2 linked regions of the Neurospora crassa OR74A genome follow. Each later gene encodes a partner of the first gene's protein in a complex. Links are inferred from orthologs where the notes say so. Each region holds a gene or a part of one and is shown in the gene's direction. Other genes may lie near its edges.

Region 1 (2,883 bases):
GCTGTTGATCCATCGGACTGCGCTGTGCAGCGGGGTGTCGCCCTCGAGTCGGTTGACGGGATCGCATTCAAAGCCTGGTTGGTCGAGGAGCATGTCGATTATCTCGTAGTTGCCACGGAGCGCGGCTTCGTGGTAGAGGTGGTTGCCCATCACGGTGGTCGTGTTGTTCAAGAGGGAGGAGATTTCTTCGTCGGATTTGTCGGCGAGAATTTCCGAGAGGAGGTCAGTGTTGTTACGCCGGCAAGCTTCAATGAGCTGCTCGGAGATGGAGGCACCCTGTATTTTGGGGGGTGAAAGAAGGAAGGGTTAGCTGGGGTTGTCTGTAGTATAGCTGTTTGCGCGAGAGGGCGTAGGGCGGGTGAAACGGGGGATAGAAGAGAGAGGGTGTTAGTTGGGGGTAGAGGACGCTTGTGTGGTACGAACCTCGTGTTCTTCGTCCTTTCCGGCCATGGTTACTGGTAGGTCACTTGTGGTTGTCTCGGAAACGGCGGGTGATGTTTCTTGGTTGTAGGAAGAAGCACAAGTAGCGAAAACGACGGTGAAAGCGAAGAGGGATGACGGCGAGAGTTGTCCAAAGTAGAGAGGTAAGATTGGCCTGGAATTGCTAATTACGAGCGGGAATCGTGGAAATGGGTCGGCGGGGGAGAGTGGATGTACGGTATGGAAGTGGCCAGGCTGTCGAATCAGGTAATCGGTCGATTCCTATAAAAGGATCGGGATCGCGTAACGCTCAATGAGGGATCTTCGGGGTAATAAGAGGGCGGCGAACGACTGTTTGTAGGGTACAGTGTACTGTATTCTATGAGATATCTCCAGTCGTGGTGGTGGTGGTGGTTGTATGAAGGACGGGATGGAAGCATTCCGTACCTCTACCTAACGGGCTGGTTAGGAGGTGGCAGTGGCAGTGTCGTCTTCCCTTGGTGTTACAGAATGGTCGGCTCCTTGCGGGGCCCGATCAGGACGCTGGCATTCAGATGGCATGCGCTGAGGCCCAGCTGCATGTCAGTGAGTAGGTACGTACCTACCTTAGCACAGGCACAACAGAAAGGGCCGTTGGGTCCAGGCACCGCTGACCAAGTGTGGGACAGTTGATGATGCAGATCTGACCAATGAAAATTCAAGCGCTACATTTAAGGTTTATAGAATTAACGGACCGCATCGAGCTATAACACTTTTTTTCAGGCCATCGCCCCTACACTGACTATTTACACTCTAACAACTTATATCACTACCTTAAAGCCCAGCAAGTGGTAGACATAAACACCGGTCTTGGCCAGCTGTTTTCACAAAAGGTACCAGCTTACGGCGACGCCTCTTCTCATCAGGATCGTCAACAAGACTTTTGGCAACCGCTCGACTCATCTCACTTGCTATTCATAACGGACGATAACACACAACAAACAAATCCAGTCCCTTCATCAATAGCAAACATGCCTATCGTCTGTAAGTCCAAGTCCACCCACAAAGGCTAGGACACCGGAACTAAACGCCCACCACAGTTTGCCCATTCTGCGCCAACCTCCTCATCCTCTCCCGAGCGGACACGGGTGGCAACAGGCTCGAGTGCAGAACCTGTCCTTACGAACACCCCATCGACAAGCCCATCTACTCCCGCAAGAACTTCCCGCGCAAGGAGAAGGAAGACGTGTTTGGTGGTCCAGGCGCTTGGGACAATGCACAAAAAGGCAAGGTCCAGTGTGACAGCGGAACTTGCAATGGCAACGAGGCAGCCTTCTTCCAGGTTCAAATTCGTAGTGCTGATGAACCGATGACGACGTTCTACAAGGTAAGAAGGGGATTGCAGACTGATGGGATAAAGTAAGAAGCTAACATGTCTCGTAGTGTATGACTTGCGGGCACAGGTGGAGAGACAACAACTAGAGGAAGAAGACATGTTCAGCACAGGTCTGGTCGGATCATCAATACATGGTATTGGGGGCATTGCTTGGCGTTGGGTTTTTCTTTTGTTTTTGTGTAGTTGCATGTGAGGTATTCTTCATCAGAATCAACTTGTGCGGTACTGGCCTGCCAGAGGCTACTTCCCACTCGTTTCCATCCCTGGCATCATTCTACCCGTGCAACTTATGCCGTGCTTGGAAAACTCTCTCGATGCCAGTCGATTCCGGCCTTCATGCCCTCTAGCCTGAGACGCTCGACCAGGTCTGGGCTGATGATGTCCTGCCTGAACTTTTCCTGCTGCAGCAACTCCAGGTTCTTCAAGGTAGGCCCAGGGTAGGTGATATACTTGAGGTAAGGTGGGCGGCTCCAGTACTGGAGATAGTCGAGGTAGGCGATGAAAGCAGGATTGCTGAGTAGCTTCCTGGACGCAAGATGGTTCAGGTACAGCGGGTTGCCAAGTGCTTGAACAAACTGAGTGTTCTGTTAATACCACGCACGCTGGATGATAATGTGTATGAAGCCTACCTCCAGTTCGAGTTCGAACCGTGTATATCCTCCATACTTGGGCTCGTCTGCCCCTGATCCCGGAGGCGCAGGTGGCTCCCTTGCTGAACTGTTTACTGACATGGGATCGGATGCCATGACGTAAAAAATGAGTGTTTGTTACAGTGTTCCAATCTGTGAATGAGCTGGATACCTAGGAACGTGTCTAGATGTTTGCGCCTCTTTGTCAAGTGAATGCGATGGGCAGTACAAGTAGACGTGAGCAGTGGCTGCTCTTAAATGGTCGTTTGTGTTGGACGAAAGCCTCAACGGCCCGTGAGTGCCCGGAAGGAAGGCGAGACTGTTTTGTTCCACCAACAATTCCTCGAGGGCGGCCCGGATGTGGCAAATTAGTGGGGCAAGCAAGCGGAGATGGCTCTGTCCCTGCAGAAAAATCAGCGTGTAACCGCTATAAATACTCAGATCAGCCCTGTAACTTGC
Region 2 (3,816 bases), on another chromosome or scaffold:
TTCTGGATTCAAGGACAATTGGTTAGTCTGGCCTTGTCACATGGCAATTGGAGGCAGCAGCTTCTAGTAGCAAAAGACGTGGTGGTGGTGAGGGTGGCGTGGACGGCAGGGTGCATCGTGAGTGCGAGGGCGGGTGCTCTGACTCCACGGTATCGGGTAGATGCGCTCTTGGTAGCGGCCAGGGCAGGGGACTCACGTATTTCTTCAGGGCCTCCTGATACTCCTTCTCGGCCTTGGCGAGGTTCTCGTTGAAGGCATCCTGATCAGGCTTGTGAGGCTTGGTGGTGGCCGCAGGGGCGGCAGCGGGGGATTGCGACTCGGCCATTGTGTGTGGTGTTGGGGGTTGCTGAAGGAAAAAAAGAAGAAGGAAGAAGAGACGAAAGGAAGGGAATAGTAAGATAAAGACGGGGAAGGGGGACTAGGCAACCGGGGGGCGTGGGTCGGAGCCGGTGGGTAGGTTGGTTGGAGAGCTACTTAGTGTAGAACAGCCGCGGGCGACCTGAGGAAGGATGGGAAGTGGAAGGCAGTGCACGTCCGAGGACCGCTGTTCGGGTCCTGTAGGATAGGATGTACCTCTGGGGTAATCGCTGCTTTGAGATGTGGTTATGTGGATGTGTAGTGGAAGATGGGGTCCAGACTGCCCTGGGGAGAACAATGGCTAGGTAGTGCGGGTGCTGTCAATGCCTGATCTGTTTTGCCCGCATCCAAATTGACAATTGAACGGGAACTAACCTAACTTTGGTCACTTTGAACCCTCAATTCACAGTCCCGTCGCCAGTTCCAAAAAATTCCAAAATTTGTCCCGCTTCAGGCGTGTTCCAGATCTGCAGATCGTGGCCTTTCCCCGACACCGTGTCACGCGTGTCACCGTCTTGGCCTGTGCGCTACTACCTACCCTACCAAGTACATATGGTGCGCTGGTTGGTTGGTTGGTTGGTTGGTTGGTTGGTTGGAGGATGATGATGATAGGTTGAATTGGCTCTTCACTAAGTTCACTTCACTTTGCCCAGCAATGTCCCTCATGGAACATATATGGATCATGGAAGAGGTTTATATAGGTAGTTGGCCGAGGAGAATTAATTTTGTGTACTATCATGTATGTACCGGAAACGCAACTTGAAGTGTATGTCCGCTTTTCCAGTCATGCATAAAACCAGCGCACGCCATCACTGTTCCTCCTAGGTCTTTCACGACTTCAACAAACTGCCTGCCTGAATCAGAAGCCGGTCAACGGTCAACAGCACAGACCATCTGCGCGCTTACTTGTAGTGTCTCACAGGGGTGAAGGCAGCCTCCGGCTCACTGTGGACCCATCCATCTCTTATCGGCCGGCGTGGAATCCTGGAGTGCCCGGGCGTTAGGTCTGATCAATGCGGCCACGCCTCTGGTTTTCGGCGACACCCACCCTTCCCGCAATTTTTTGAGAGCCTTTGTCCTTCAGCCTCGTAAACAGGAAAGTCCTCCAAGCTATCAATCCACCAACACGCCATCCACCATCGCGAACCACCACCTCACCTGCGCAACCTCCACATCACCACCACTCCGCGACGACAAACACTACACTTCAATCGACTGCCCAACACACACAGTCAAAATGGAGGACGACAGCAGCCCCACCAGTGCCTCCAAGGAAGTCTCCCGTCTGTGGAGGGCCTGGAGGACTGTTCACGAGATGGTTCAGGACAGGGTACGCCATCCATCCTTATCACGGCGCTTGCTCGACGCGCCATCGCCCAGAATGATTCGACCTATTCTGACATGTACATGTGCTTCTCGACTATAGGGCTACGAGTTGGCGGAAGACGAAGTCAAGATCTCGCTCGAGCGGTTCAAGGCTGAATACACGAACGAGGATGGAACACCAAAGTGAGTTCCTGCGTCGGCACCCATCACCCCTCCATCACCACCACTTTACGCGTCGCATTTCAAACCTCAAACCACTATCACCTCCCCACCAGACTAACATGACGACACCAAACCACAGCCGCGCCAAGCTCCAATTCTCCGCCCGCCCCTCGGAAGCCATGATCAAAAAGTTCACCGCCCCTCCCACGCCCTCCAACCCCAACCCCGTTCCCGAATGCGGCACCATCTGGGTCGAGTTCTGCACCGAAAAGGGCTCCATCGGCGTGTCCGTCATGAAGAAATTTGTCACCCACTGCTCCGACAACAAGTTCAAAGCCGGCATCTTCATCACCGCCGTCCCGCTTTCTGCCCAGGCCCGCAAGGTCATGTCCGTCACCTCGCAGTACACACAGGTCGAGTGCTTCCTGGAGGAGGACCTGCTGGTCAACATCACGCACCACGAGCTCGTGCCCAAGCACGTGTTGCTGTCCAAGGAGGAGAAGGCCGCGCTCCTCAAGCGGTACCGACTCAAGGAGACGCAGCTGCCGAGAATTCTGAGCAAGGATCCGATTGCGCGGTATCTGGGACTCAAGAGGGGCCAGGTCGTCAAGATCATTCGTGTGTCGGAGACGGCGGGTCGCTATGCTTCTTACAGGCTTTGCGTATAAGGGGGGCAAGCGTGTGTGCGTGAGAGAAGGGGGTGGTTGCGTGCGGTTGGCAAAGCTGGGCTGGCTGGCTGGCTGGCTGGCTGGAGGGCACTACACCAATCCATCCAATCTCTCCCCAGGCTTGATTTGTTCTCTGGACGGTCTTCGACGGGCCAACGCGGGTCTGGCTGGTGGGAATCAGTTGATGACTATATGGACGAGGACTGGATAAGAAGCCTTGGGAAGGGGACGATGACGGCCAGCAGCGAAGCAAGAAAGAAGTGAAAGCACGGCAGCCACCAGCGGGACAGGGAGGAAGGGGTTAGGGGTTCGGTTGTGTAATACAAAACACTTGGGCGTTTTTCTTTTTCTTAACTATTCTAGCATCATGGGGGATACAGGGAAATCAGTTTCTGTTCTTTCGAATTCAAAAGAGGACAAAGAAAGAAAGGCGTTACGGAGTGGCTTTTGTACTAAGTAGCTTGAGATATATACCGACAAGAGAATATCCGAGCTATCATTATGAAATTTTGAGACAAGAGAGATTAGAGCAGTTGGGTACTGTGTTTGCTAATGGGTATATTCACCACGGAGTCTACTATATTAGAGTGCTTATCTGAGCTAGAAGTAGCCCCTGGCTGAATCATCAACATTCAGGTGTTTGGATGCTGACTGAAAGAAAGTTTCGTCAATCCCTTTTGAAATCGGGCATGAGATATCAGAGTTATTGAGCTGTTGATTCGATTGCTCAAGAGTTACTCAGTGACTGGTGACATTGTATTGACCAATACAGAACTATACGCAGCCTCTACCATAAAGTCAAGACACTTATCCTCCAACACTGTAATCCGTTTGTTACATGGCATGTTGACTGTTCAATTATTCATTCATTCCTCTGTTAATACACACCTAAAAGACTCACTCAAGTCCAAATCACGAACCAATCCCAATCCCAATCCCTCTAAGGCCAAACCTCAACCTTCTCCCACTCCCCCTGCACCTCCCCGCCCGCCTCCTTCGCATGATAACTATTTCCCCTCCACAAATACAACCACCGCCTCGCCCTCTTCGCATCCGACAAATCCACCTGATCCACCTCGGTCGGCACAATCACCACCACCCTGAAATTCTTTCTGGCTACCTCATCCTGCAAATCCACCACCTCCTGGCCCAACCCCTCCCCTTTTCCAGGGGGGAACGCCACCGGCTGTCCCGGCGGCGGCCCGCGAAACGTGCCCCTCATGACCGGATTCAAATTTCCAAAATGCGCCGTAACCTCCCTGCTCCAGCTCCATTGCTCCTCATCCTCCTGTGTCTTGCCCTC

What was found.
Region 2: NCU00570 (region 1) and NCU05305 share a complex: the UniProt entries of both Saccharomyces cerevisiae proteins name them as parts of the RNA polymerase III (Pol III) complex. The link is inferred for Neurospora crassa OR74A from reciprocal best matches to the Saccharomyces cerevisiae genes RPC11 and RPB5.

Annotation. Positions count from the first base shown.
Region 1 is NC_026501.1:7,970,220-7,973,102, forward strand, and holds NCU00570 (DNA-directed RNA polymerase III polypeptide), read left to right. Parts: upstream 1-1,191; 5' UTR 1,192-1,430; coding exon 1,431-1,443; intron 1,444-1,499; coding exon 1,500-1,786; exon of another isoform or gene 1,787-1,842; coding exon 1,843-1,881; 3' UTR 1,882-2,062; downstream 2,063-2,883. Other genes in the region: NCU00571 (hypothetical protein), read right to left, coding at 1-276, 424-450; NCU00569 (SOH1 family protein), read right to left, coding at 2,083-2,370, 2,425-2,541. UniProt on the Saccharomyces cerevisiae protein: DNA-dependent RNA polymerase catalyzes the transcription of DNA into RNA using the four ribonucleoside triphosphates as substrates. Component of RNA polymerase III which synthesizes small RNAs, such as 5S rRNA and tRNAs.
Region 2 is NC_026504.1:5,395,375-5,399,190, reverse strand, and holds NCU05305 (DNA-directed RNA polymerase II polypeptide), read left to right. Parts: upstream 1-1,352; 5' UTR 1,353-1,594; coding exon 1,595-1,687; intron 1,688-1,783; coding exon 1,784-1,866; intron 1,867-1,984; coding exon 1,985-2,513; 3' UTR 2,514-3,133; downstream 3,134-3,816. Other genes in the region: NCU05304 (nuclear segregation protein), read right to left, coding at 1-2, 197-325; NCU05306 (hypothetical protein), read right to left, coding at 3,454-3,816. UniProt on the Saccharomyces cerevisiae protein: DNA-dependent RNA polymerases catalyze the transcription of DNA into RNA using the four ribonucleoside triphosphates as substrates.